4 linked regions of the Alligator mississippiensis genome follow. The protein of the gene in region 1 purifies or fractionates together with the protein of each later gene. This does not show direct contact. Links are inferred from orthologs where the notes say so. Each region holds a gene or a part of one and is shown on either strand. Other genes may lie near its edges.

What was found.
Region 2: the proteins of PPP2R2B (region 1) and MYO9A purify together in Homo sapiens (affinity purification with mass spectrometry; 4 studies listed by BioGRID and IntAct, with this or other methods). This does not show direct contact. The link is inferred for Alligator mississippiensis from reciprocal best matches to the Homo sapiens genes PPP2R2B and MYO9A.
Region 3: the proteins of PPP2R2B (region 1) and PPME1 purify together in Homo sapiens (affinity purification with mass spectrometry; 3 studies listed by BioGRID and IntAct, with this or other methods). This does not show direct contact. The link is inferred for Alligator mississippiensis from reciprocal best matches to the Homo sapiens genes PPP2R2B and PPME1.
Region 4: the proteins of PPP2R2B (region 1) and CDCA4 purify together in Homo sapiens (affinity purification with mass spectrometry; 4 studies listed by BioGRID and IntAct, with this or other methods). This does not show direct contact. The link is inferred for Alligator mississippiensis from reciprocal best matches to the Homo sapiens genes PPP2R2B and CDCA4.

The regions. Positions count from the first base shown.
Region 1 is NC_081832.1:64,055,417-64,063,238, forward strand, and holds the start of PPP2R2B (serine/threonine-protein phosphatase 2A 55 kDa regulatory subunit B beta isoform), read left to right. Parts: upstream 1-4,817; 5' UTR 4,818-4,892; coding exon 4,893-4,902; intron 4,903-5,082; coding exon 5,083-5,160; intron 5,161-7,822. UniProt on the Homo sapiens protein: The B regulatory subunit might modulate substrate selectivity and catalytic activity, and might also direct the localization of the catalytic enzyme to a particular subcellular compartment.
Region 2 is NC_081834.1:45,293,213-45,300,757, reverse strand, and holds the start of MYO9A (unconventional myosin-IXa), read right to left. Parts: upstream 3,008-7,545; 5' UTR 2,839-3,007; intron 1-2,838. UniProt on the Homo sapiens protein: Myosins are actin-based motor molecules with ATPase activity. Unconventional myosins serve in intracellular movements. Regulates Rho by stimulating it's GTPase activity in neurons.
Region 3 is NC_081824.1:466,851,969-466,859,468, forward strand, and holds the start of PPME1 (protein phosphatase methylesterase 1), read right to left. Parts: upstream 3,018-7,500; 5' UTR 2,986-3,017; coding exon 2,888-2,985; intron 1-2,887. Other genes in the region: C2CD3 (C2 domain-containing protein 3), read left to right, coding at 3,345-3,648, 6,206-6,363, 7,218-7,438. UniProt on the Homo sapiens protein: Demethylates proteins that have been reversibly carboxymethylated. Demethylates PPP2CB (in vitro) and PPP2CA. Binding to PPP2CA displaces the manganese ion and inactivates the enzyme.
Region 4 is NC_081825.1:289,655,235-289,663,122, forward strand, and holds the start of CDCA4 (cell division cycle-associated protein 4), read right to left. Parts: upstream 3,012-7,888; 5' UTR 2,875-3,011; intron 1-2,874. UniProt on the Homo sapiens protein: May participate in the regulation of cell proliferation through the E2F/RB pathway. May be involved in molecular regulation of hematopoietic stem cells and progenitor cell lineage commitment and differentiation.

The sequences.
Region 1 (7,822 bases):
ATACAGATTTCTCCATTAGGAACAGTATTCTTCATACATTTATCTTGCAAATATTTGAGTCATTGACCCTGGGAAACATGTTTATTCTATTTAAGGCAAATGATGGCTTGCTTCAGAGTTACATTTTCCCTAATAAAAGAGGTCACTGTTAGAAAAGCAAAATATTGGCCTCTGGTATTGTACTTTGTCATCCTGAATCTTCCACTTCAGGCTCATTTTGAAGGTCACCATGATCTGGTTTTCTTCCAGCTTTCCTTGTATGGTTTCTATAATATGTATTGCAACAATCCAGTGTTAAAATGAAGGGCTGCATATACCTTTTTATCTCTTGCAAACTACGACCCACAGAAAATCTGCAGCCAGTAAAATTTATTTACAACCTTTTCATATAGGAATGGTTAGTTGAGATAAAGGTGCTCATCATTACATTGTTAGACAACTTGACCCATCAGTATAAGTCAAGGAAAAAAAATAACTCTGTTTAAAAGTGGAACAGATGCCTTCAAATAAATAACATATTGTTAGTAGTTGAGGCAACTGCAATGTCTGAAATGATTATTCAAGACAGTTAAAATATTTTTTTTCATCTAATTGCAACAGAGGTGTAATAAGAGGAGTGCCTCTTCTCCTTTATATTCCCTCTCACCCTCACCAACACATATACCAACATACATTGTTAAGTATCAGTAAGAAGATTAAGTCAGGGCCAAATATTGAAGCATTTATTTACTTTTAGTCAATTCTAATAAGGAAAAAACTCCCACTCATGCCACTGAGAGTTCTGATTAATGAAAGATGGCGTTAAAAGCAAGGCCCAAATTCTGTTGCAGGTTAATCCACATTAGTGAGTTTGGCTCACTGACTGTAAAGGCTAAGTAAGGAAAATAAGGATTTCAGAGTTTGGATTTCAAGTATTAAACATTCATTCTGGAAGATCCAAAATGCCAATACTATAGTAAAAATAGGTTAGACTCCATGATTTTGAAATAATGCTTGAGCAGCAACTATATAATAGAAGTGTCTTATGACCATCTTATGACCCTTGTGCAAGATCATAAGGTCTAATGACTTAGCTGTGGTCTGCTGTTCTTACTGCTTGCCTTGCATCTTGAAGTTATCCCTGCCCAATGCCCTAAGGTTACGCTAAGATAAGATGTTGCTAAAGTTTACTAACTTTGCCGCAGTTCCCCTTTTCCTCTGCGCATGCGACAAAAGATTTCGCTGCAGTTCTGCTTTTTGAGTGCGCATGCACTAACCCTGATAAGTCACACTAACCAATAACAAGTTAAGTGCAGCCTACAAGATAAGACATAACAATTAGGAAATGGTAATGCTGCCAATAAACATCTAATACGTTAAAACTCTATGTTCAATGTAAGCTATAAAAATGTAATTCCGGGCCGGACTAGTCGTCGACTCTGATTTGAGCTCAGCTCCTGGGTCGAACTGTTTGCAAACAATAAATCTGAGATGGACCCAGCCTGTGTGTGTGTGTGTGTGACTCTCTCCTGGGGTGGATTGGACAAGCCTCCAGGGGAATGAAACTAGCCGTTTGGGCAACAATACCAAAGTAAGAAACTTCCAAACAACACCAGGATGATATCTTTCCTCTTGGAAAGACATCCCTCTGTGGGTTAAAAAGTAGTAACTCTTCAGCAGCACACAGCACTACAGAGAACTTCAAAACATTAAAGATTACCTTGGAATAAAATTTGCTCTCAGGTACACATGCATAGTTCTCACCAAAACCAATCCAAGTGGCATCTCAGTAAGAACGGACTGAGGTATCCCTTGCAAATGAATGAGAAACAGGCGTGGGGGCCTGGTCTCTGTTCTTGGGATTGAGAACCAAACTCTGCAACGCACCTTGCTGCCATGGCAGTAGTTGGATGGGCTCAGGAGCTGGATGCTGCTCTGTTTTGTGAGGCAGTGGGAAAAAAGAAAAACATGAGCAGGCTGGCCACCAAGCCAAACCAACACCACATTCTAGCAAGGTGTGGGAAAAGATCATCGCAGACTTACCTCCCACTGCTAGAAGGTTTGAAGCCAAAGCCTGAGCTACACAGGGCCTAAGTCTGGGAGGCCTCTTCATGGGACTCTATAACGAGTATCACCCGTGGGAGCTGAGGAAAATAAATTGTAATAAAAACTTCACTGCCGGCCAAGGGGACAACACAGCTGAACCACTGCAAGGTTGTGAAGCCAGGACTTTGTGCTCAGGAGGACAGCAAAACTCCCACTGCACCACTACTTGAAGCTTAGCTGTGGCAGCCTGCTCCATGGGATTCCTTGATGAGTGATGCCCAAGGGAGCTGGGGAAAATAAACTTAAAAAGAAAAAAAAAGGCAGCTGCCAGCTGTGAGTGAGGCAGACCATAAGAGTGAATCCAGGCCCTTGAATTCAGAAAATGATCAAATTGCTCACTGTACCACAACATGGAGCTTAGAGCTGCCACCCTGTCCTGTGGAAGTGCTTGATTGGTGATGCCAGAGAGAGCTAGGGAATATTTAAAAAAAACCCTACTCCTGGCTTCACAGCAGACATAAGACATAGCTAAGCCAGACTGGAGTCTTGAACCATGTACTCAGGAGGCCACTGAACTGCTTGCTATACTGCTACACAGAGTCTGGGCTAGCAGCCTGTTCTGTAAGATTTGACTGGTGATACTAAAGGGAGTCAGGGAAAATTGAGACCAGGAAACATCCCACTGTACCAGAGCCAATATCTTTTGCCCAGTCTTCCTGCCAACACTCCTTCTTGGGCTGATAGCCTTCCTGAGGACTAGAACGGGGCAGAGCCAAAGGCTTGCTCTCCTTTCTTCCTATGATACAGACAAGCCAACCTTGTGAACTGAAGCAAGTCCCCAGATAGGGTCCCAAATCCCCTCAGGCAGTTTGGAAAGTTGGCCATCTCAAACTACTAGTTATGTCCAAGATAACATCTCTATCTAAGATGTGAGATCATCTCTAATTCTGGCATAGCTCAGACTCAATCAACATAATTATTGAAGTACTCCAATGATTTTTTCATCATACTTGGCTTGTTCTGTAGATCGCCACAAGGCTCAACATCAAGTCAGTTTTCAAAACTTACACACCCTATTAAAACTTACTGACTATAAGGATTTTCTACTTTTTAAATATATTCAGCCTTATCTATAGTCTAAATTAGACACACTACCACACAATAACATCAACGGTACCTCAGTTAAAGCTTACATAAATGATCAGGTATCCAGGTTGTACCCGTATTGATCTAGAGGAAAAGGCAACCAGGACTCGTAGTAGAGATTATATATTTTATTAGGCCAACAAGAAATTTTTTTTGCAAAAATCTTGTTGATCTAATAAAAGATACCATCTCTACTGCAAGCCCTGATTACATAAATTATCAACACTTGAAAACAGACCAAATTAAACATAGTAAAAAGCTTACAGAGTGGCCAGTATCCTTTGGCTGCCAAAGGTGACAGCGGTTTATATAGCGGGAGGGTGTAAATCACCTAGGGGCAGATGATTTGCTTAGGCAGAGTCACTGCTAGATTTCTCTCTCTAGCTGTGTCCTTATATACTGTAGATAGCATCAGTTATATAACTTCACTAATTGATTATCATATGACTATAAACCTATTTAAGGTTTTCAGTCTCAGTGTTGCATTACTGAGAATGTTCTATACAGAATAAACAAACACAAACACAGAGTGAGAAAGGCAGGCAGATATACAGCAAAATGGATGAAGGAAACAAAACTGGAAGATTAGACTGGAACCACTTTGAATTTCTATGTAGATGGAGGTGGTGCACAAGTTCTAGACAGCTCTGTGATTTGATTCCTCTTTGTTTAGGGGTCAAAGCAAGAAGTGGTAATGTTCTAGGTTTGGCTCAGATCAATAGAAATCTTACAGACAGCTGTTTTTTTCCATGTAGATTTAACCCAATAGCTAAATATATCTCATAATATATGTATAGTTCAACCAAGTGCTTCCTACTAGAAAAGAGGAAGGAAGTGTGATTCTCGTGCTTAAAACAGGAACCTTGGCAATCAGGAATCTCAGTTTCTACCTCTAGCATATTTTCTTATTTCCTCAGATCAAAAGGGTGTCCGAACCATAATTTAGTCATTGGTAAAATTGATTTACGGCACTAATATTTGTCTCCTTCTCAAGCAGGTTGTGAAGCATCTTGAATTTCCTGTTTAAAAAAATGCTTTGAGAACTTTGGATAAAATGCATATTATCAAAGAAAGCAAGTTGTTCTTTGTGTGCTGTTTTGAATTGTGCGTTCTAAAAGGGAAATTTTTACTATGTCCTTAAGGAGAGGAGGAGCAGCAGTACATTAAATCCTAATTTCACTCACAGGATCTTACCATAGAGTGTTATTGCAGTGCCGGGAGCAATTCACAGTGCTATTGTTTATATAGAAATGCTTATAATATAAATGCCTACGGTATCCTTTTAAAACAACTACAGTGTACTTCAGCTTCCATGCAAACACTAAAATATTGTAATGATCAAGTAGTCTGACACGTTTCATTCTGCAGAGAAAATTGCAAAGCAATTCACCACTAGGTAGGCCACAAACTAGAGGAAAACGTTGCTGTTTTGTTTTTGTTGTTCTCTCCCTTTTTCTTTTACACTCTCTCTTTCACAAAGATGGAAATGATTTGGGGCATTAGTATTCTGATGAAGAGAGGCTGTGACAAAGACCGTGACTGCAGGGCCTCCTGACTCCTCTATGATGCTGCCAGTGATGTAGAGGGGACTGACTCCAATTGCACCGTTTTCGAAATAGCCCTGAGATGGTACAGAGAGAACAGACAGAGAAGCAATTCACAGCTCAGGCTGTGAATTGTTTTCAGTTTTGCAGTGCTAGGTTATCACTTCGCATGGAAGAATGATACCAGGTAAGCATGTATTTGTCTTCATTTAACGGTTGCAGATGGTCGGGTGAATATGTGTGCATGCATGGGTTTTAAAGAAAGATTATCTATCTATCTATCTATCTATCTATTTATCTATCTATCTATCTATCTACACTTGTGTGGGTACATCTTATCTTCTTTCTGTATGTGTTTCACTGGCAGGATTTGGAAACCTCATGCAGGATGTGTTGTGGTGTTTTAGTCAAGTAAAAGGAACTATTGACATAGGGGTCACAGAAGGTAGGTTTGTTTTGCCTTTTGTTGCTTTAATCAAAGATAACTTGTTTTTTTATGTACTGCTTGTCTAATCAGTCAGCATTTTTTCTCTCATTCATATATTGTCAAGTACAATTGAAAGCAAGGAGTTGAGCTGTGCCTCCTTTCTTTTCTGGTTTTCTCAAGTATTTATTTATTTTAATAGACAAGTAGCTAAGATTAACTAGCGATCCAAAACATTTGTATGATATAATGATGGCTTAAAATATCAATAGCCCATCAGTACTTTGTAAAATGCATTGCCAGGACTTCTTTGTTTTTATTTCAATAATGTCTAAGGAAATTAGGAGCCAGCCAAAATTATTGGATGCAGGGTTTGTTTGTTTTTCTAAATGACATCAGAACTTACTTTTTACTCCCGTATCTAAAGCTAATGTACATTTTAACACATAGGCTTTTACAGATATGCATTAGTCAAAGATACAGGGGTGATTCAGGAGAACAGACATTGACTTTCATACTCAGTAGTTTTCAGTGGGATTTGCACTTCTAAATCACTTAGGCATTTTTTTAAATCTCCTTTACAAGTAGCCCCAATGTTTTAATTCATAAGTGGTCACGTATTAAATACATATAAATTATATTGGGCCAAAACTGAATTAAACTTGGAAAGAAATAAATTCAGTTTTCCTGCCCTTTAATTTGCGTGTGTGCGTTCTATCTTGCTCTCCTCCTCCATTCATTCCATTATTTCCTTGTCTTCTCTCCCTGTTGATCCATTCTTTCCTCTTTTTCTCTCTGTTCACCTCTGACTTCCATTTGCCCTGTTTATCTTCCATTTTGTTTTTATTTCCACTGCTTATCTATCATTCTCCTCTGTTGCCTTCACCCTTTACTTGTGTCCCGCATGAGTATCTGAAATCCCTTATCCCATCCCACTCCCCTGTTGCAGCCAAGTCTCCAATCCCCACCTCCCCATTTTATTTCTTGATGCTTTCATGCAAGTTGTGAATTGTTTGCCCAGAAATTCTGACGTACTTTTTTAAGGCACGGGGCGGCCAACCACCAAGTGCTCTACCACCCAACTGGCAGAGACCTTTTCTGAAAAGATATTGAGGCTTGACTGGTCTGACTTACTTCACTCATCTCGCATGGTTTCAGACCAGTTTTTCTTCATGTTTTGTTTAAATGATCAAGGAATATAAGCTTAACATTAACCTTCAGGTCTCACCACAAACGCACGATGGCTGACATACCACAGTCTGGAGAAGCCAATGTAGATATCGTATACCAGGACTTAGTTGCGCTGGCAAAAGTATGCCTCTGAGGGGAGATACCATGATGGTTTCAGTCCAGGTGGTTTTATGTACAGGCAGTCCTCAGACTTATTGGTCTCTGAAAACAGTGTCTTAAGTCGAAACGTTGTAACTTGGAACCAATTTTCTCCTAAGAAACAATGTTATAAATAGGGGATTCGTTCCTGAATCTAGGCCTGATACCCTATTTTCACCAAAAATACCCCAGAATTTTGTACTTAATCAATTATAGATGAGTAATATAGCTACATTAATGTATTTATATTGTAAATATATAAATACAATATAAATATATAAATAGCAATCATATTGATTTGGAAGGACTTTGAGATGACTTTGCTGGACTTTTTGAAGGGCTCTTGGTTGGACTATTTGAAGGGCTCTTGGCTGGAGTCTTCTCAGGAGTCTTGGCTGCAGGTTCTTCTGGAGACTTGTCTGCTTTCTTAAAGAAAGTGTCCAAGGAAGTTTGGACAGATGTTCTCCAGGGAGATGGTTGACATAGCAAACTTGTTCGCTGGCATGGCATCACATCAGATCAAGCATTGTAAAGTTGAAACTGAGGTCAGAAAGTTGAAACAGGGTGTCAATTTGTAAATGTTGTAAGTGCAAAATGTTTTGAAACAGGGTGTCAATTTATAAATGTTGTAAGTGCAAAATGTTGTAACTCAAAACATTGTAAGAAGAGGACTGCCTGTACTGTCAGGGGAGATCCCCTTCTTCCCTGCCTTGAATGACTTGGTATAGTTGAGGGTAGATACCTGTCCATTGCGCAGTGGGCATGCATCTCTGCGGGAGTCTACTGTAGTGTGCCAATGGCAGGGTATCGGCTACATGCTATGTGGTGATGGGGGATTGCTCTTGGGCTCTCCCTCTGTCTTGCTCCTATGGCCTTTTGGCTGGGGGCAAGCGAGACTAGGGGGCATCTGAACTCCAAAATTGGGGCTTGTACACTGGATGCCTGCCATGGATTTGGGAGTATCTGAAAGCCCAAACTGATGAGTATGGGAGGTAGGACCACACAGACTTGTATGATTAAGCTTTGCTCAGTCCACAGAACTTGGAGCTGATCTGGCTAATTTGACCCAAGACAGTGAGGCCCCTGACAGATGCTACACTTAAGACATGATTAGCCAGTTAATTATTAACCAGTTAATCATGTCTTAAGTAGTAGCCCAGCCACACCTTCAATGGTGCGGTAGGGAATTAACCACAAAGTTACTACACAAAATATGTGTAACAACTTTTTGGTTGGTTCCTTCAATTCAGCTAAGTGGCACTCCCAGCCACAGGAGCCCCAGGCCCCAGCTTGCTACTTGCAGGGTGAGTCTAAGATCATGCACCAGCAATAATAGTGTTGGGATCTGAGTCCC
Region 2 (7,545 bases), on another chromosome or scaffold:
AATAATACAAGTCATTAGCTTGTTCTCACGGTTCCTGAATTATCGGCCCAATCTAGACAACTAAGCACTTTTTGAAAGGCGAGCACGCACACAATGTATTTAAACCATGAATTAAGACACTAACAAGCATGAGCTTTGTTCTGGCAGGCATTCCACACAGGCACATGCCTGAAAAAACATGGCCGGAAGTGAAAGCATGAAGCAGAAGTTGCCTACAAAGATCCCGACTTCCCCAAAAACTGTGGAGGGGCTGCTCTGCATGCCTCCCACAACTAGAACGGTGGAAAACAGTCCAGAGGAAAGCATGTGTGTCCTGACCCAGCAATGGCCTCTATATGCAAGAGGCAAGTGTAGTCTCAATCTTAAAGACAAAGAGTAAAAACAGATCATGGTAAACAGTTTATAACCTGTAAAGGAAATTGTGGTTATCCAACTTTGTGCTTGAACCATGAAACCTGAACAATATTCTCCTATTATTGATTACAGAGTGGTGCTGCAGCTCACTCATATGAATGGTTTGACCTGCCTGCAGTTAAGCTTGTGTGCAAGTGTTTGCAGGATTAGGGCTTTAGTCTACATGCCAGTCATCATCTTGGGGGTGTGCAATTTCATTGCTAAATAAAATCTGCTGAAAAGGAGGGGAAGAAGAAAAGATTCACATTCCAATTCCTAGGACTTGGCTGTGAAGAACTGAAAAAAAAAGAAATCGTTATCTAAAGCTGTACTTTTCAAAATAATGGTTTAAAGACAACAGTGATCCTAGGAGGGAGGGTGGCTTTCTGTCCTCCACACCACAGTGAACTAGATTTTTTCCCTTATAACACAGCTTTAATTCTCTCTCCAGTACTTATCTGTACATAATGTTCTTCACTAGACTTGCTCCTACTCTCTGCTGTGGAGTATCAATATGGGCAGACACTGCCTACTAGTCCAACAATCACAATGAAGTACACTACAGAAAGGCAGCTGAAAGCCATGGTTCTTTTGGTTGTATTCTAAATTACTAGTCTCAGCATGACTTCAGGGTATGAAATAGAACTATGTGAAATGAGAGCTGCTAAAATATCTATAACCAAGACTGTCCTTTTATTGTTGGCTCAATGACAGGAAGATGCTGTAAAAACTCTGTAACTTAAGTTGGACTCACATGCTATTGCAAATCCTGCTCTAGGATTTGGGGCTAAAGGCACAGTTCATTTGCTATGTATAAGAAAATTCTGGAAGGATGAAAGAAAAAGGTTTTTCTTTAACCTCCTTACTCAAAATGACTTTATTTCACGCTGGGATATAAGTGACATATATTAAGAGTATTGTATCTGGATATTTCATTTGGCTCCCAATTTAAATGTTTTAAATACAGCTCTTACTAAATGACACAACACTATTTTCATGACAATTCCCCAATAAATAAAATCAATAGCAGCAATGGGCCAACAATATGCATCAGTGAAGCTCAAGCTTGAAGACCGTCTCTACACTAGGAGATTTTCTTATTTATTTCCAAGGATTTACATAATTGCCGCCAGATGCAGATCCACTGGCGGCAACCACGTTGAAAGCACCATGTATAGACAAGGCAACGCTGCTTATAATATTTTGTTTATCCACTACGGCCCGAAACAGACCTAAATGACAGAGTACTGAAAACATCAACAGCTGCCCCGGTACCCCGTCTACACTAGCTTCTCTAATAGAGTTACCACCAGTAGTTGCAATGGTGAGAAGTTCTCCCCCGACTTCCAGTGCAGGGAAGGCCTGACCCCACCTTCAACTGAAAGCACCATCTACAGTCTGTACCTCGGTTTACCATTAAAAAAAGGCTGGAGTGAGGGGACCCCACTCAACGCTAGTCGTGTAGTAATGAAAAGAGATTGCTAATGTAAAGCCTGAAAAAAGACAAACAGCAAATCTGCCACCCACTCCAGCTGCCCTTCGCTCTGACTGATAACACTGATTATATTTTTATAAATGGTAAAAAAGCCAAAAAAAGATCACGCACATACTGTACACTGAAAAATAAGTTCCCGTTCACTTACAAATGCTGCTTCCCATCAACAATCGCGCTGCTCTTCCGAGTCTCAGACCATTACATCAACCATTTAAAAGGAAAAACGCCACGCACCGTACATCCTGCACGCTAAGCCACAGATAAACGTTTCTAGTATCCCCACAACAATTTTTTTTTTTTTTAAACCAGAATAGGCACTGCAGCTTGTCAGCCCCACGGCGCTTGAAACATTTACAGCCTGGGGTGATCTCTAAGCTCGCATGTCACCGGCGTGCTAAGGACACTCGTCTACACCGCAGTGCTCTGCATTCACGCCTCCCAGCCAGGCGGAGAGGGCGAAGCGTGCACTCCAAGCAAGCCGCTCGGGCATCCCCGGGACGAGGACGGCGGAGACGGCGCAGGATGCTACGAATCCTCCTGCCACCGCCACGCCGCCGGGAAGAAGCCTGCCTCACCCAAACCGAGGAGACGGTGGGGGAGAGGGGGCGGGTGGGGGCTCTCCCCTGTAAGGAAGGACGCAGCGAGACAACTCGCGCGGAGACAAAGACCCAGACCCAGACCCCGCACCCCGCGGGCACAGACCCCCCAGGACCCGGATCCCTCCCATCCCCCCACAGACCCGCCCCAGCGCCCCCCGCCCCGCACCTGCGCCGCCCCCGGCCCGCCCGCCCACACAGCTGGATGCCGCCGGGGCCGGACACACGCGCACGGGGGGGGGCAGCATCGCCCGCAGACCGCGCCCCCGTAACGGCTGCAACGGCCCCGCAGCCCGAGGGGGGGGGGCGCCGCCCCCTCCCCCCGTTTCGCCTCGGGGGGCGCGGGAGCCTCACCTGGGCGCGGGGCGGCGGCGCATCCCGCGGGGCGGGGCGGGGCGGGGCGGGGCGGGGAGATGAGGAGGGCGGCTGTGTCGGTGTCGGTGGCAGCTTCAGCTCCGGCTCGGTCCAGCGCGCGACACCCGCTCGCGCTCGGCCACTCCGGGCACGTCGCGCGCGCCCGGCCCGCGCGGCCCCGCCCCCTCCGCGAGGCCCCGCCTGGGGCCACGCGTTCGCCGCCTCCGGGCCCCGCCCTTCGGCGCATGCGCCGTCTGCTGACGAGCCCCTCTCGCGAGGGGCGTTCCTTTCCCCGCGCGCCGGCTGTCGTAACGAGGCCGCTTTACGGCCGCTCCCGGCAACCGTGAGGCGCAACGGGAGGTGCGCGGCGCCCGGGCTATGCGGCGGCAGGTGAGGCCTGGGCCCAGCGCCGGCCGCTCGGCGGGCAGGGGGCGATGCGGGGCCTGCCCGGGTTGCGGGGCGGGCGGGAAGGCACCAGCAACCCTTGGCGCTTCCTTCGAGCCCCGCTTTGCGCGGATCCCCCTTCCCCGGCGGCTGGTAATGAAGCGTGTGGTTGGTTGCCTGCAGCGAAATACGGTAACTCGTGCGGTCGCCTGCAACAAGTTACGGTAATTCAGCAGCACAGTGACGTGACCGGAGCTGCCCCGGAGCCTTTGGGTGACGAATGTCGGAGGAGGAGGTGTCGCCGCCCTCCCCGGCCGCCCACACCTGATGGCAGTGTGGGGGGATGGGATGGGGGGGGCAGTGTGGGGGGTTGGGCAGCTGCTCCATGACACGTGCCAAGAGCAGCAGTCGTCAGCCTGGCTCCTCGCCCCTCTTTTTTGCTTGGAGAAAAATCCCAGTGCAGTTGTTCTGTTCCAAGGAGACACCGGAAGTTTGCTATCTCAAATCTCAGGGTTTTGCTTGTGCCTCTCAGTACTTGCACCATATTGTGCAGCCTTGAAAGCCTCCAAGGTGGGGAGCACCTGGCTGAGAATTGCAGCTCTGAGCAGAGGTCGTTCCCTGAGTGAGTCTGAAGTCTAGTAGGAAGCAGAGTCGATGGGCACCTTGGACTCCCCAGAGTAGGTAGGCAGGACAAGCTTCCACGAGCTGAAGCTTGCTTCATCAGATGCTGTGAAAGGAGATGCATAAATCCACCCTGCTTCCCTTCTGCGTGTCTAGAGGCGGGGCAGGAGGGCCTCTATCAACCCTTGGCACTTCCTGCAACCACCAACGCCCCTGCAACACTGTCCCTGGGCTCCACGGGGCCCACAGGCAGGCGCCCACATGGCGGGTGTTTAAGGTTGGAAGCTAGAGGTGCCTGCAGAAGGCTTGGTATTCTTTGTCTGTCATTGCTCATGGAACGGACCATGTCAAGGTATAAAGAGCAGGGAAGGGTGCGATCACTGCATTACATAGTCCCTTAGGATAATAAAGTAGGATGGTTTCTGCCATGATTTGCACTCTGAGCAGTATTTCAAACCTTTTTCAGTGACCCCTTACTTGAAGTAAAATCTTATTATAAAAGAGTAAGATTGTGTCAGTCTTAAGACTAAGTATAACTGACGTATTTGTATGGTGTAGGTTCAAGACACTGTTGAAGACTTTGATCTGAAAGGGTAAAGAGGAGCAGAGATGAGATTTTTTTAAATTCATTTCATATGAATGAAAGTCATAGCATGTTAGTTAACAAATACTGCCTTAAAAGTCAAGAAACAATTGGTATTTTTTTTGTTAGTTGCATATTTTGGCACCAAATGGATAATTCAGCCCAAAGAAGTGAAGCAATTTGCCCCAAGTCAAGAATCAAATCTGAAAACTGGAGCTAGAATCCATATTTCCTGAATCCCCCTCCTAACTACTGAACCATGTTTCCCTTTTGTATGCCATGACACTTTGAGGTGATGATTAACGCTTACTTATTTCACTGAGAATCAAGGGTTCTCAGTAATTTACAGGAAATGGTACTTAGGAAGACTGTTCTCTCTTACAGACACTCTAGGACAGTTTCTTATTGTACAATACTATACAATTATATCTAAAAAAATTGGGGTCAACTGTGTTGCTTGAAACCTACGTCATCAGTTCAATTTTAGTGGATGCTGTTCTTCAGAGATCAAAGTCATAATGCCCAAAGCAGTTCTTGTGACTGAATGCCACTGTGGAACTAAGGAGAACGATGAACACTTCTAAATGCATTCTTTTTTTAGGCCTTTTCAATATTTCATTGAACAAACTTTGTTTCCAAGTATGTCAGTGTGATCCACACATTTTTTCTGTTTAACTTCCCAATTTTTGTTGTATTGGAGTTTTGTACTTTTTTGTTTATCAAGCTTCTTTATCAGGATGGGTTACTGGCATTCTCCAACGAACCTAACACCTCCAACCCACTCACTCTTTGGAGTAAATTGTAAGTCCATGGCTGTGTTCCTGGCCTGTTTAAATCTTATTTTGGATCCTATGCAATTTCTTGCCAGAAGAGACTTTTAAACAGAATGGGATATTTGAGTGCTGTTCTTGTGATAAAGTTGTGGAAGGCTTTATTTAGTTTCTTGTGTCCAGAGCATGACTGAAGCCCTTCAACATTCTGCCCACACACAGTGTATAGTTTTTCATTAATGCATTACTAAAATATTATTAGCTATTTTAATTATCCTTATTTTAAAGGATGTGGGAGCAGACCATGTTCCTAATTTGGTAACTCCTTAACAAGCTTGGAAGGATGTTCTCTTGCTCTGGAACCAACATATGGACTATAATAGGCATCTAGAACCTGTATGAAGACCCATATTAAATTAATAATGCTCTTTGAACAAGGGCTTAGCGTGGTCATGCTGGTAATGCAGTCCAGATTGCAAAGACAAAAATAAATCAGTTTTTCCCCAGTATCTCTCACTACCACTGATTATGTTATGAGTAAGAGTACTGATGTACTTTCAAAAACTACTTCCTGAAAAGGGATGGTCTTGTGGCCAAATCATGGGGTTGGTAGTCAGGAGGCTGCTTTCTATTTTCAGCTCTTCCAAAGACTTCCTTTATGACCGTAGGCAGATTATTACGCATCTCTACCTCCAGCATGTCCATCTGTAAAGTTTGCATTTAGCTTCATCAGTTGGCTTTGTGTTTTTCGCCAAATTTTGTAGATTTGTTAAAGACCACAGTAAACAACACATTTTAAAAATATTCTCTCCATATGCTGTTAGCACTTTAGAAAGTTGAAATATCTGGTTTAGTCTTAACCATTTATGATATTTGCCTTGCATGTTTTTTCTTTATACTAGGTGTCTAGTTGGTTTAATTTCCTGTTTCTCAAGTATGGGTCTTTTTTTTTAATTCTTGTTTTGTTAGTTTACCACCGTGCAAGGAGAAGCTTATATTTAAAGCACTGTTTTCCTCTTTATTTGATGTAATAGGTCGTATTCCATAAGATTACCTGCTACCTTTATATTTTGGCTTTAAAAGGGTATCAGACTTGTATAAGGTGCCCCAAACCAGTTATAATATATTGCAATAACAGAAATATGGATGAAAACAGAGCCCATGTGATATTGTGGTACTGCAGCCTCTGTAATGGAAAGTATTCTGTGAACCTTTTAAATTGGTGAGTCTTCTGTACAACTTCTGAAGTGTGACCTCAGAGTAAATCAACATACTCGACACTAATTCCTATTTAAACCACTACTTCTCTTCCTGTCCCCCCCCTCCCCTCCCCTCCCTACCACCACTTTATATCCTTACCTTCACCTAGGAAAGCAGGTAAATGTCTTATTTCAAAGCCGTCGTTGCTTTGTCCAGCAGCAAGGCAGAGGAGTATATGTTGCTTTCGTAAGTTCAAAAAGCTACTTTAAACAAAACAAAAATCAGTGAGCATGGCTCCGTTTATAAGCTAGAATAAGCATTTTAGTCCTTGGTCAGTATTTTTTTTCAGATTTAATAAGAACGTGCTTGCAGTTGTCTCCAGAGAGTAGGTCTGATATGCATTTGAAGTGGGCTCTGTGAGAATCTTTTAAACACCAGGGAATTAACTGATTTAATTGTGTGACTTGGACTTGAAAGACCTCTGAACTTTACATACAAAACCATATCCAAACATGACAGCAAGTTCATCTTTAGTTTGAATTGGAAGGCCTAGTTAGAAAGAGAAATCTGAGATTACGTACACTTTCCAACTGGTTCTACTAATCTTTTTTTTTGTGTGTGTGTACAGTATGTACCACTTGGACTGGGTGGTTTGGGAGCAATGTGAATCTGTGAAGTGTTCTTTAAGCTGTGTAATATCTGGTGAGTCACCATGCAGTACTTACAAGCAGTTTCACAAATACCAGATGGCAATAACATTAAAAGTAGTAGCTAGTAGCAATTAGGTGGTGGTTACTCTAAATCAGGAAGAAAGAATGCTTGTGGGAAGCTACCAAATGGCTTACAAAAAAAAAAAGCCTCAAACCGAGTTTCATTTCTGTAGGGTGAAAAATTAACAAAGTACAGGATGCAAGCTTTGTGATGCAACTGTTAATACTTGCAAGGCATGTTTGGCATCTTTACTGTCTCTGGGAAAAAGTGAAGCAGAAACAGATTGGTAAGGAAGAACTTTCTCACGAGGAACTCTTCAAACTCAAGACTGGCCACTTCTAGATTGCCTTGATAGATCCCTAAGACTTTATATAGACTATTGCTCAGTTATGTTTAAAAACTCCTGGAGACTTAATAAGATGGCCATGTTTCCTCTGG
Region 3 (7,500 bases), on another chromosome or scaffold:
GTAGTGCTACACTCACTAGCACCATGACCAAAAAAGACTTCGGGGGTCATGACTGACCACAAGATGAACATGAGCCACCAATGCAATGCTGCAGCTGGCAAAGCAAATAAAACTCTGGCTTGCATCTACCGAGGCATCTCAAGCATGACCCAAGAAGTCATCCTCCTGCTGTACTTGGCCTTGGTGAGGCCGCAGCTGGAGTACTGCATCCAGTTCTGGGCTCCACACTTCAGAAAGGATGTGGAGAAGCTTGTGAGAGTCCACAGGAGAGCCATGTGCGTGATCAGAGGGCAGGAGAATCAGCCTTATGATGAAAGACTGAGAGCCATGGGACTCTTCAGCCTGGAGAAGTGCAGGCTCAGGGGTGACTTGTATACTTATAGGCTGCTACCAAGGGGGGGTACACCAGGAACTGGGACAATGTCTGTTCACTAGGGCACCCCAAGGGAAGACAAGGTCTAACAGTCAGTCTCAAACTGCTGAAAAACTTCTTTACTGTCCGAGTCTCCAGTCTGGAATAGACTCCCCCCAGAAGTGGAGCACGCATCTACTCTGGATACCTTTAAGAAACACTTGGATGCTTATCTTGCTGGGGTGATTTGACCCCAGTTGACTTCCTGCCCCTTGGGCAGGGGGCTGGACCCGACGATCTCATAAGGTCCCTTCCAGCTCTAATGTTTATGTAATCCCCACATGCTGTCCCTCCCTGAGCCTACTGCCAACATTTTCCAGCCTGTCCCATATTATCTCTTTCTACAAGCCATCCATATAATTGAGCCAGTATCATACAGCATCTTATCACTATAATACCGTTCTTAACTTGGATCCCTTATTTTCATCCATAAACAAAATCTATCTTCACCCCTTCAAAGCTCTCCTTAAATCCAGCCCATCAGGCCCCCTCGCTCCCCTTTTCCATAGTCACTGCGGGCACTTTAAAGCATGCTCTCAAGCTTTTTAATACATGCTCTCAGACAGCCTCTTCAATTAAAGCTCATTTGTGGAGCTTTAGTTCAAGCAACCTCATCACCATTTTTAAGCGCAGAGACATTGATACACGAGACACAGGAGGCTGCTAGAGCCTGTGCACTCGTGTACAGATGCCCGGGGTCCCTTGAACTTCTTTCTTTCACACACTGTCCTACACAGTGTCACATTCTCATTGACCAGTCCCCTTCCCACTCTGCTTTCAGAAGATGCATGTACTCTCATTCATAAAGCTCACCATCTGTTTGCTTCATGTGGTACTACACTGCACAGTCCCAGAGGGCCAAATGGCCTCTCCCAGGGGCAGGGACTTGCACAGCTCACCCATTGGAGAGTTTCCTGTAGACTTCTGCTACAGGAAAATAATATCCAACTGTTCTCTTCACTGAGCTCAACTATCATGGATCTTGAATGACCACAACACAACGGAAACAACCTTTCCTCAGCCACAGGGAGTAAAACAAAATGCAGAGAAAAGACTTGTTTAAGAGATATCCTGAAAGAGCTGCCTTTGCCAAACTTTGTCCCCAAGAACAGAGAGCTGAGAGACTGTAATGGTTTGTTATCAATTGGACAATGGGGTTACAGGAAAAAAAACACTGCGATTGCTTCAGTAAAACCTACTAGGTTTTTCAGCTGGGTCTAACCTCCCATTTAAAGATAATAGAGCACAATTAAGAGAACAGGAGTCCAAACTTTAGAGCTTGTCTAATTCTCTTCTGCAGGGTCTAGACACGCTCCTCACTCACAGACATTTGCCAACAGCCCAGTTTGACTCTCGAGCCCTCCAACACGCCAGAAGCAGCAAATTATTAGTTCCACACATGACATCACCGCCAAGAAAACCACCTGCTCTGCAGAAAAGCACCTCAAATGAGTACTTGAGCATCACCCTCCAGAGGCAACCACCCTCTCTGCCACAACGGATTCCCGCCACCACCTCTGCTGTCCCCCGCTACCCCCTGCCCCGGGCACCCTACCACCTCTGCCCCCTGCCTCCTCTGCTATCCTTGCTCGCTTCTGCACAGGGCACCCCCACCTCCTCTGCTACCCCCTCTCCTATCCCATGCGCCCCCATGGGAAACCTCTTTTGCAACCCCCCCCTCCCCACCCCCATCAGCTGCTGATTGGCGCTGGGCACTGCCCTCCCCTGCCCCCAGCAGCCCTGCTCTGTGCCAACCCTTCGCCCTGCACCTCACCACTCAGCCACCTCCTGTCCCACTCTGCAACAGGCACTACCACCCCACCCCCACCACCCCCTTGCACCAGCTGCCCCTGCCTCCCCCTCACTTATCAGGGTGGGGGACCCCACCCCAACCCCTCTCCCCCCACCCCTTCTTCTGCCAACCCATCCCCCACCTCAGGCACCCCGCTCCCCCCAACAGGACCTCCCCTCCTCTGCCACCACCTGCTTGGGCAGTGACACCCCCCACAACTAGTCAGCACCCCCATAGCCCCCCCAGCACATCCACCGCCATCCCCACGGCTCTCAGGAAGCCTTCCCACAACCCTCAGGGCCTACCCCGCCCCCACCTCCCAGAGCCCCCCCCCCAACCCCCACCCGCTGGAGCCCCCCCCAACCCCCTCAGGAACTGATCCTCCCCACCTCCAGGAGCCCCCAAGCCCCTTCCCCATCCCCTCAGGGGCTGCCCCTCCCCCACCTCCAGAAGCCTCCTCAACCCACAGCTTCCAGAGCCCTCCACCCCAAACCTCTTCCCCTCCCCCACCTCCCAGAGCCCCCAAACCTCCTCCCCTCCCCCATCCCCTCAAGGACCTCCCCTCCCCCACCTCCAGGAGCCCCGCCCCCCCCAACCTCCTCCCCCACATCCCCTCAGGGACAGTCCCCTCCCCACCTGGCCGAGCCCCCGCACCCCATGCCCTGAGGGCCTGCCCCTCCTACCCCATGCGCATCTTGGAGCCGGACTGGCCGCCCCCGCCGGGCATCGGCGGCCGCGGAGGAAGGCGACCCAGGTGCAGCTGCTTCTCCAGGGCCGACATGACGGCAGGGCGGGCGGGCGGGAACGAGCGAGCAGCCACCTCCCCCACCACCACCACCACCGGAAGTGCCCCTCCACACCGCGCGGCACCTTGGGAAATGGAGTCCGCTCCCCCACCCTCACCGGAAGTTCCCGTGTCTTTCCCGCTGCACTCGAAGCCGGAAGTGACCCTCCGGAAGTCCTTCCTCAAGGGGGAGCGTTCTCAGTGGTAGTGGCGCCGGAAGTCCCTCCCTCCCAGCCGGAAGCGGGAGGGAGAGGGCGTGGTGCCGCGCGGCCCGTTGGGGGCTGTAGTCGCGCCGCGCTTCTTCCCGGCGGCCCCCGCGGCGGCGGCGGCGGCGGTTGCCGGGCAGCGGCGAGGCGATGAGGCGGGAGCGGGCCAAGGGGGTGCCCCCGCGCCGGGCCCGCGCCCCCCCCGCGCCGCGGCCCGTGCCCGCCGCCACCAGCCTCCCGCCGCTCGTGGCCGGGCCGCCGCGCGGCCTCCTCGCCGTCACAGTAGGCCGCGTCGTGTGGGCCGGGCCCGCACCCCCCGCCATCGCTGCCGCGCTCTGCCTGCGCTGGTGGGGCGACGCCTCGGCCGGGACCTTCTTCCGCGCCGGGCCCGGCCGCAGCCAGGCCCGCTTCCCCGTGCGCTGCGGGCCCGCGCAGCTCGCCGCCTACCTCGCAGGTGTGGGCATGGGCACACGCACATGTGTGTGTCTACATGTGTATACATGCATGTGAATATGCATACGTGTGTGTGGATATGCGTGTATCGGTGCGGGGGGGGCTCGCTTCATGAGTTAAGGGTATGCGTGTACAGGTGATGTGTGCACGCGTGTGTCCGAGCGTGCGTATGAGGGTGCAGGTGGGTGTGGAAGGAGGGGTCCTCGACGTCGCGCCTCATTGTCGCTTCCCCGATTCCTGCTGTTCTCTCCGCTGCGCGGTCGGTGTTAACGCCTCTCTGTGCTTTTTAACGGCCTTGAGGTTTCATCCCTTTGCAAAATCCCCGGTCTCGTCTCTCTTCCGTTTCGCAGCCCGGCCGACCGGGTTTAGCTGTAGCTAGAAACCTTCAGTCAGGCGTGGTCCCACTAACGAGGGTGTGGTCCGACTAACGAGGGGCGTCTCGTAGGCGCCGTCACGGCGCTCGAGGCAGCTGGATTCGGTTTTGCGACTCTGGATAGGAGACGGGCAGACGTCTCCTATTCGTATAAAATCTGATATCTTTTATTAGACTGACAAATCGTTGGAGAACGGTTTTTAAGCAAGCTTTTGGGTTCAAAAACCGTGGTCAGTTGGTCTAATAAAAGAGATCAGATTCACCCAAAGAACCGTGTCTGCCTGTGTCCTTAGACCAACACGGCTACAACCTGCACCCGTGTGAATAGGAGATGGACATTTAACTACAGCGACTGCAGGACTAACCATACACTATCCTTTGACTGGTGTTTGCCTAGTTTAGTTTGTTGCATTTTTATTTTTTAAAACTTCATGTGTACTCAAGCAAGTGGTGCACGTTCCAGGACTTGTTGTTGTTTTCTGCTTCGATCTTTAACTGAATAAATATAGCGCGAGCCCCCTGCCGTATTAGCGCGGCTTCTAGTTTCTTTTCAAGAAAAACGTGTTGTTATATGGGATGAAGTGCCACGCCCTGTGCACCCCCCTTGTGAGACTCCTAGATCCACACATGTGCATGTACGTGCATGTATGCACGCACACATGCAAGAGGGTTCATGAAACCTTGTGCTACACGCACACACTGAATAAAGTAGTGTGAGCCCCCTGATGTATTAGTGCAGCTTCTAGTTTCTTTTCAAGAAAAACATGTTATGTGGGATGAAGCGCCACACCTTGTGCACCCCCCTTGTGAAAATCCTAGATCTGCCCGTGTGTGTGTGTATGCATGTGCGCACATTGTTCAAGAGGGTTTGTGAGAGCTTGTGCTACACACATACACATACATAGCACAAGCTTTTACAAACCCTCTTGCACGTGTTCATCTGCATCTTGCAGCCTTAATGCCGTAAGCTTGAGCTAGTGTCAGAAAGCGCGGAGTTTACTAGCCAGCTTGTTACTTCTTCTTGGCTTCATGAAACGGAAAGAGGCTTATACGAAGCACCCCTTGTTTCCAAGGACACTTTATGCCTGCCCCCCACCTTTCAGAGGCCTTGACATGCAAAACACTATTGTAGTATTGCAATACTGCAATATATATGCACTATTGCATGCTGCTGAGTCCTCCTGCCAAAATCACTTGGGAGGCAAGGATGAGAGGCTGTTCCTGAGAAGGACAGCATGCCTGCAGCTCTTAGTGGAATCACTAGAATCAGACTTTAGGGCTGTATTATTTAACCTGGGCTGAGGCTTAGTTTTGGGAGGTGCTGAATGACCTTGCCAAGCATCAACAGCCCTCCAGTTGTATTTGAGGATCAGACTCTAGATCTGTTACTTATAACCACATTTATGTCATAGTAAAGATTGTGTGGTTTTGTAGCTGAAGTAGTGTAACGATAGATCCTGTCAGCTGTCACTTCACATTTTTTCTCAGGCTCTAATCCTTTAGTGAGTTGTGTTCAGGGGAATCGTGTACTGACATGGACTTTACTGCAGGATTGGGCTTCAAAGCAGCCTATTTAAGTGCATGTGTGTGTATTGTAAGTAGTAGTCCATGAGATGGGACCGATTATCTTTCATTGTCCAATACTTGTCTCTTAACAGTACAATACTTTTTTTACCTACTGTTGTATTTTCTCACATACAACATGCGCTGGAGTACAGCACGCTCCTTGTTTATGAGAGGCAGACTGAAGGAAGAAAAATCTGTTCTTGTAGTATGTAACTGAGTAGCAGCAGCCAGGGAGAGAACAAGGTCCTGCATGGGCACCAGCTATACGAACTCCTTCGTGCTGCCCCATTAGGGTGCTCTGCTTGCAGCCGACTTTGCCAGTAAGCGGCAGCACCTACCCTGAGAGTATTTATCTTGCATAATGTGCACTCCAGTTTCCAGTAGCTGTTTTTTGAGGAAAAAGTGTATCCTGTACCTGAGAATATATGGCACATATGATCATCCTCCTATCTTATTTTAATGATACCTTATTTTGTTGTCTTGGCATTTCATTTTCTTGTTTTAGTTTTTCAATTTTAATCGCCTTTTAGCAGCAAACTGTTGTTACTTGCATAAACCCTTTTTAGATGCTTAAAAATGCATTATACCAAACCTAAATTAGCTGTTCTGTCTCCTGTAGATATGGGTGCTCTCGTACTAGAGGTAATCACCAAACCTGACCATCTTCCTATCGGCAAAGTTCAAATTAATGGATTGTCACAGCTCTCTCCAAGCAATCCAATCAGTGGATTTTTCACCATTGTTTCACCAACGTCTGAGAAACTAGGAGAAGTGCAGGTAGTACTGAAATCTTTCCTCCGACTTATAGTTTGTATTCCTATAGCAACTTGGAGCCCAAGTCAGGGGCTAGACACCACTATGCAAGGGGCTACAGAATAAAAAGCAAAGGAATGGTTCATGTCTCAGCCTACAGCAGTGGTTCTCACCATTTTTGAGCTTGCTGCACCCCTCATTAGACTCAAGGTGCCCCTCCATAACTTTTGTGAATACAGTGCCACCCAATTTGAAAACTATTTTGCAGATTATGGTGCTTGCTTCCTAGAAGGAGGGGCCTGGGAGTGAGAATATGGGAATTGTTCAAGCAGGGACAAGCCTGAGCCTGCACTTGCTTAGTTTATCTGCTTATCTCCTAACACCTCACGTATTACCTCACACTTCACAACTTTCAAAAGATCTGGTAGCACCCCACGGTGTCCTGGCACCCTGGTTGAGAATCACTGCCCTACAGTCTAAGACAGGAGGTAACTGATGGGTAAGGACAGGGGAAAATGCACACACACTGAAACAGTGTCAGTCAGCATGAGAAGTGGTATTCATGGCATGCTAGCAAACTGACTGTTGTGAATATTTTATGTTTTTTTAAAGGCCTCAAACTAGATTTCAAATCCATATTTAAACTTAAACATCCTTTTTATTTTCTTTTTTTTACCACCCTGGCACTGTTTCTCTGGAGAAAGTGATTCCTTAGCTTTGTGTGATGTGAAATAACAAACAAATATTTCAGAGTTTAGGCTGGTGCCCTGCATAACTGTAGAATACATAACATTTAGGAGTGAAACAACAATATGCTGTAGAGTATAAAAAACACACAGAAATAAAACACATGCATTTCTTTATATTGTCTCTCTTAGATATCGTTAGTTTTGGAACCATTCCCTGAAACCTATGACAAGAGCAGCTCTCTCCCAACCACAGATGCAAGTAAAGATATTATCTCATGTGCTAAGGGAACCAGAGGGATGAGTGAAACCAGCAAGCCTCAGTTTCTAGCTCCACCACAAACATACAGGCCTCCTGGGATGTGTGTTACTGGAAGAGAGTCTGCCGACAGCAGCAGGGCTGCAACTCCTAGGTAACATTTTTCCTTTAGATACATTTTCCAATTCATATGGTTTACTTTTAAGCAGTAGCCAT
Region 4 (7,888 bases), on another chromosome or scaffold:
GTCAGTCAGCATCTAAACATTAAACTGACATGAAAGGGCTTGCTGAACAGAAGGAAGCCTCAATAATAAGCAAACATGAGCAGGACTCCTTATTAGATCTAGAAACTAAAGAAGACAGTGGTAACTATGGAGATGAACTTTAGTAATATGCAGAGGGAAGGGAACAGGTACCCAATGCAGGAGCCCAATGCATGTGACTGTGCAGTTCTGGATTTTTCTGTAGAGCAAGAAAAAAACCCCCCTAAACTAGGGGTCAGCACTGTTTTCAGGCAGAGTGCCAAAAACACCCACAACCTTGACATTTAAGATGTTGGCATGCCAGGGGCCGATGGTGGCAGAATCAGAATGGGGCCTGATCTTGTTGTGGCAGCGCAGCCCAGGCCCCTTCCCCGCTGTCTGCCCCAAAGTGCAAGTGCCAAGCAAAGTGCAAGTGGCCTTTGCATGCCACTCTCTGGCACCCGTTTTGGGAGCTACCCAACCCTGCCTTAAACACTGTTTTCTAGAACCAGAGATGTGGGGCAGAAAACATCTGTGCCTAGGAACAAATGAGACCACTTGGAATGAGCATTTTTTTTAATTAAAGTAGGAGAAGTCCCTGGTAATGAAATTTGTTTGAGACTCTACCCATTGCTACACAATTATGATGAAGAAACTAAGTTCTCTTTAAGAATTTCTTCTGGTCCTTAGGACCTGCAAAGAAAACTTTGGAAATACAAACCAATGCCTTGCTGTATTTTTAAATGCTACATATAAGTGTTAATGCTGACACCTGTTTTAAATATAAACAGGTTTCTCTGCTATTTTATCAGATATGCAAGAAATGCAGACAGTAACAGGAGGACAAGACTGTTGCCGGCTTGGCTGTTTAAGATTTTGTCTCCCACAATAATTTAAAGTAATATTTGCTCTTGTTCAGAGGGAGGAGGAAGAGCAGCCTCCTCTTCTTTGATCCACTTACTGTGAGAACCAGAAGTCACAAGAACAATAAGAACCGACATACTGCATCAGACCAAGAGTCCATCTAGCCCAGTATCCTGTCCCCAACAGCTGCAAGCAGCAGAAACTTCAGAAGAAAGAGCATAAGTTACAATAGTTAGGGATATCATCTTTGGATCAGAACATCCCTGGAGTTAGGACTGCTGCTAGCTGGAAGGATGTGATGAAATGGACTGTTTTGTACATAATGTATTTAATAGGCTGTAATGGACTAATGCTCTCCATAAATTTTATCTAAACCCTTTCTGGACCTCATTATGCCACTGGCTTTCTCAACGTCTTGTGGCAATGAGTTTCACAAGCATGTGTCGTATTAATAAAATAATTTGTATTTAAAACTTGAGAAATAAGCCGCACCCAATTAAATTGAGTGCGGCTTATTTCTCATGTCACGAGACAGAGCAAGAGATCAGACGTTCCCTATTCCCTTTTCCCAAACCATTCATAATTTTAGAGAGCTCTACTCCATCCCTGCTGAACGATGTCTTATCCTAGCTAAGGTGTTGGAGTCTTTTCAGCCCCTCCTCATACCGAAGCCGTTCTTGCCTGTTCAAACTGCCGTCCATGTGTCCCTGCCTGCCAAACTCTCCACCTGTTACGGTACCGCATGTCCTTCCACAGCCTCGGTCGAAGCGAGCGGCTGCTCATAAAAGGGATGCATCCCTGATTTTGCTCGTCTACAAGGTGCACCAGCCTCCTTCAGACTCCCAGGACTAACTACCTCTCATTACCCTGCCGCCAGTCTCCTGGACAACTTGATAATGCGGAAGCGCACGGGGCATTGATACCTGAAGCTTTCTAGAATACCCTGACACGAGTAGCATGCGGATGGGGCATTCGCTGAGTTAATCCATTTTCATAATAACAACAAGTCTTTTACCTCTCCTGAAACTGAAACCCAATATCTGGCCAGTCATGGGCATGAGGTGACCTTGTAACAAAAATGAGGCCACAGGAGCCAGCAATAACCGGCAAACAGAAATCCCTTCCGAGAGGCCATCCCTCCTGCAGAGGGCTGTGCCCCCCGCACGCGTGCACATGATACCTAGCTATGCACACATGTGTACACACACACACACACACATATATATATATATATATATATAGTGTGTGAGTGTACACATTCTCCTCCCCTAACGTCATCCTGTTAACGTTGTTTCGTTATTACGTCACTGATCTATTAGAGAGCACACGCATTTAAAGTCGCGCAACGTTTGGTTATAGCGCTGTTGGCCCGCCGCCGGCTGGTACGCAACTCCTGCGACGCAACTGGATTCGCTTAACGTCGTTTCATGTAAAGTCGCATTTTTCAAGACAGTAACTACAACATTAAGTGAGGAGTAGCTGTATACTTGTGTACATCCACACACACATATGGGCATACATCCGTACACCTGTGCGCAGGCGTGCACACACCTGCATATGCCTACACCTGCACACGTACATACACCCGCCCGCCCACGCACCCCCACCCACGTGCGTACAGTGCACGTATACACCCACACACACCACGCACGTATACACCCAGATGCGCACGTATGCATCCACACACACACCATGCACTTATATGTCCACCCACACGTGCGTGTACATCCGCGCGCGCGCACACTGCGTGCACGCACAGGTATACACACGCACACGCTCTACGCACACACACATCCGCAGTGTAATGCGGGGTTCGGCCCGGCTCCCGGGCGAGGATGAAGGGCCAGGCCGAGCCGCCGCCGCGAGACCCCGGGGAGCGGGACGCGCCGCCATTTTGACTCCGCTGCGGGCGCCGCGGCCGCCCCGCCGGGCTCCTCCGCTCCGCTGCTCGGGGGCTCCACCCCGGCCCCGCGCCCCGCCCGGCCCGGCCCGGCCCAGCCCAGCCCCACTCACCGCCTCGCCGCCGCCGCCGCCCGGAGCCACGCTCCCGCCTCGCCGCCCGCTCCGCGCTTCAGAGGGAGGGCGGGGCCAACCGTAGCACCTCGCTCCGCCTCCGCCCGCCCGCCATCTTCTCGTCGAAGCCCACAAAGGAGCGAGGGGCCCGCCCCCGTACTGCTACTGGGGGAGAGTCGATTCCGGCGGGCCCCGCCCGCAGGCGAGCGCTGACGCTCATTGGCTGCCTGCTGTCTACGCAGCACCGGCCGCGCGGTACCCGGCCTGCCATTGGCTGACCGGTTCCTTAGCGGACTCAGCCATTCCCCCCCTCCACCACACCGTCCGTCATTGGCGGTTGGGTTACTATGGTACCCAGGCCCGCCCCCCCACTGCCATTGGCTGGAGGGAGGGATGAGGTATTTCAAAAGGCAGCCAGAGCCACGCCCCCAGGACTCCAGCGGGCTCCGCCCCAGAGCACGTGGCGGCTGGAGGGAGGGGCCTCTTGCTTTCCGGCCACGCCCCCTTCATGGGGTCGTGGGAGCGTGGATTCCCCCAGCACACAGACACTCCCCCCGCTCGTCTCGGGCCCAGCTGCTCCCAGCCAGATCCAGTCTGTGACCCCGACCCCGCTTTGGCAGCACCCCAAGGCCAGTCCAGCCGCTTGTGGCTTGGGTGCTTCACTGCTGTGGCCCCCTGTTGCCGCGTCTGAATCCCTTGTGCTGGATCCAGCCTGTGGGCCGGGGTGGAGGCACCCCTGCTCCAGGCGGAGGTGTTTTCGTCCCCAGGGCAGGATGCTCTGAACCTGCTGCCACATTTGCCCCGTCTCCTAGTGAGAATCACGACAGTGGGGTCTCTGCCAACCGCCCCCCACACCTGGAGTCGTTCCCTGACGGAAAAGATCCGCTTGGCTCTTGCAAAAACGTGCTTCCAGGCCTCCCGGGGGGGCAGACGACCCCCGATCCCGGCAGGACAAAGAACAGTAGTCGTCAGGGCAGTGTAGCGCAACAGGCCCCTGGCTGCCTCCTCCATCATCCTCAGCTCCGGTCTCCTGTGTGCCTTCGTCCTCCATCCACCGTTGATGTCTATAGGTCGCTTGTCCATCGTCTCCTGGTTGTCCAGGCTCCCTTCTCCCCTCCTGGACCCCCAGGAGCACTTCCTCGCTGTCCACATCGCTTCCGATCTTTCCACGTGGCCCAGGCGCTGCCGTCTGCTCCCATGTCCTGCGTCAGGACAACTGGCAGAACTCGTTATTGGTTCGTACGCACCATTCCTGTGTTGTGAAGCTGAACCGACCCATTTCTAATGTCTGATGGTTTTCAGCTGCTGCTGCCAGACCTCTGGAAACACTCAGCTCGTTCTTGGCGCACAGCTGCTTGCTCGGTTCCTTTCCCTGCGAGCGTACGTTTCTCCATGTCTCCGATTCAAAAAGAAAGGGATGTCAGGTTTGTTCCCCACAGCCGCAGAAGAGCTTAGTAGCTGTGTCTGGCTTTCGGCATCGCATAAGGAGGATCTGCAACCCAGGGAGGTAGGAGAGAGAAATGAAATGATGAAAAGAGAGGAGTGGAGGAATTGAGGAGGAGCAAGAAATAAGCTAGATTAGTAGGTGTGGGAACTACAGGCCAAAAGGTGGAGATAGGAGAAAATAACAGTGGTTTAGGGGAGTCAAATTAGCAGCAGCTGGGAAAAAGATGGGGCGGCTGAACACTGCAATGTGCCACAGAGCTTTCACATGTGGCTCTGTCTAACCAGCCCTATTCTTACCCCACCGTGGTGCAGAATTACAAATCAGAACTCCAAAAGAAAAGAACATGATACCACAGAGTTAACGCTGCCATGGATCTGGAGAGACGTGTTCCTTCTGGCCTACCTGCAAAGTACTTATAGTCCTGACGATCCTGCACTGAGCCCGGTAAGAGCGACCCTTGTGCACGCAGTTTTGTTGCTGATTTCAGCAATGTGGTTCTCTGCAAAGTCGGGACTGTAAGATGCAAAGAAAAAACGTGGCTGGGCCAGGGGTTGGCAACGGTTTTTTGGTTGGAGTGCCAAAAACACCCCACCCTTTGACTTATAAGATGCTGGCATGCCAGGGACGGGTGGTGGGGAAGCCATGAGGGGCCCAATCCTTGTTTTGGCAGCACAGCCATGCCCCTGCCCCTCCCCACTGTCCACCTAGAGGTATGTCTGCACCTGCTGCCAGCAATGAGCTGGGCCAGGGCTCCACAGACTTCAGAGCAGCAGTTTGCAGCCGGCCTGCTGCCTTTTGTGAGTAGCCCAGGCTGCATGGCTAGCAGCAGTTGCCTGCCACAGAGCCTGGGCTGCTCGCAGCAGGGCTCGCAGCCTCCCTGCCACCTGCTGTGAGCAACCCCGGCTGCGTGGCCAGCGGCAGCTGCTCAGAGCCAAGGCAAGTTGTGACATGCAGGCAACATGGCCTCGCATGCCATGCTCTGGTACTTGTGCTGGGGGTTGCCAACCCGTTCTAGGCCTTTTGTTGTTTTACACAACAGAAATAAAAGCACCGACAACTTTTCCTGACAAGATTTTTCTTCTAATGAGAAATATCAGGTCTTGACATTTTCAGATTTCCAAGAAGTCCTCCAGCAAAATGGGGAAACTAGTAAGTTTCTGTTATATCAGCAGCCTGAAAAATGAGTAGAAATTTTGACTCTTGAATACTCTGAATTTGTTCAGAGCACCTGATTACGCACCTGATTAAGGTATGGGCAGAAAAAAAGAAAAATCCCCACAACCCATCTCTTGAGTTAGCGGCTGAGAGAAGTCACTCCTGCAGCAGTTGTGTACTCAAGGTGAGATAAGGCTTGGTCGTTCTAAAAAATAAAGTTCTCAAGATCCATCCAAAAGAACAGATTTACTAGAAAGTAAACCATCTCCCAAAAGACAAAAATATTTTCACAGAAAGAACATTAAGCTTGTAACCAGAGACTAATACTTTTCACCCACCCACTCAGTGCATGAAACCAAACTGAAAAGTGTCAAAAGGATTGTGTCAAAAACAGTCTAGCCTGTTAATTTCCTACACAGACACTTCATGCTAGGAGCATACATCAGCAGAAATAATGTCCACAACTGAGGTGAACTTTTAACAAGAGCAGAATTACTGACTAAAATAGAGGCAGAGAGTAGGAGACAAAGCATAGCGCAAACATGACAGAGAAATGTCTGTTCAGCAACTTGATGGGGAAACGGAAACTGTGATGCTTTCTATTCCTGCTCAAAAAGAAAAAGGAATGAAAAAACACTTATTGTCAATGATGAGAAATGACAAAGGATTCTAAAGGTGACGAGAAAACACTTTCATAACCCCAGAAAACACGAGAGACAAGACACAACTGGCCTGACACTAAGCATAGGCGACAGACCGGAACTGGCCAGCAGTGATAAATGGATCTGGGTGTGAGGTTGTAAGGACCACTTTGCAGATATGTCCTGGGAAGATACATGACCTTTGACAGCCAACAGAAACCCTACTGCGTGGGTAAAAGGATAGAATATATTTTTAGCATTAAAAACATTTATAAAACATGTCATGCCAAGGGGGCATCATTGTATTACTTCCTTCTCCTGCACAGGTCAGGGAGCAGTTGAGACAGGAACAGTTGCCTCCTCCCATCAGCTTGAGTGGGTGACAGGCTCAGCTTAGAGCTGTTTTTTGCAAATCCCAGCATACTGTGCGAATTGCATAGATTCATGGAGGTTAGGAGCTGGAAGGGACCTCACAAGATCATTGGGTTCAGCCCCCCTGCACTTGGGCAGGAAAGACTGCTGGGGTCAGATGACCCTAGCAAGGTGGGCGTCAAGTCATTTTTTAAAGCTCTCCAGGGTAGGTGACTGTACCACCTCTGGGGAGAGTGTTCCAGACCCTCGGCACTCGAATTGTCAAGAAGTTTCTCCTTATGTCCAATCTGAAGCAATCTTCAATCAGTTTGTGCCCATAGTTTCTTGTCTTCCGCTGGGGTGCCTTGGTGAACAGATGCTCCCCCAGGCCCTGATGTACACCCTTGATATACTTATAGGCTGCCACCAAGTCCCCTCTGAGTCTTCTCTTTTCCAGGCTGAACAGTCCCTCGTCTTTCAGCCTCCCCTCATATGACCTGCTCTCCAGACCTCTAATCATGCACGTGGCCCTCCTTTGGACTCTCTCCAGCTTCTCCACATCCTTCCTGAAGTGCAGCGCCCAGAACTGGATGCAGTACTCCAGCTGTAGTCTCACCAAGGCCAAGTGGAGCAGGAGGATGACATCCTTAGTTTTGCTCGAGATGCCTTGGTAGATGCATGCCAGTGTTTGATTGCATGCCACATTGGTGACGCATAGGGGATGCACATGGGTGCACACGTACCTCCTGAGATTGGCTGTGCACCCCCTGGAAGCGCCAGCCACAAAACTGGAAGTGCACCGGCCAGACTGGAAGTGCATCAGCCACTAGGGGACACCCCCCCCCCCGGTTGGCAATCGGCTGCTAGGCCCCCCATCGGCGATCTGATGCCCCGCCAGACTTGGGATGCACCAGTTGCCCATGCCATGCCATGTGAAGCTGCTTCTCCTACCCTGTGTTAACCTGTGCTAGGCTATGGGAACTGCACTCTCAGCTGATTCTGCTGTCCTCACTCCCCACCCATGCCTTTTTATAGGAGCTTCGTGTGAGCACTGGCTGTCCTGCATCGCTTGCGTTTAAGTGAACTTGGGTGCACAAAAGCTCATGCTCTATACAGATCTCATTTAGTTAGTTTATAAAGGTGTGTATGTACCCTGCCTTCTGCAAACAGCAGGCTTGGCTTCCCCCTTCCCTCGGTGCTAGCCTCTGCTGGGTTGTGTGACCTGCATGCATGAGAAGGGAACAGAGATGTTAGTTAGCTCAGATGAATGCCTGTAGCCTCCCCAGTGCCCTCCTTCCTTGTTGCTTTCCCCCTCTTGACAAATCAGTCCCACTCAGTTTAGTCTTTACAACAGCGTTGCCTGTTCTGGTGAGACGCTCATATGGCAGCAGGGGAGAGGAAGATGTTTATAATGTTTCTA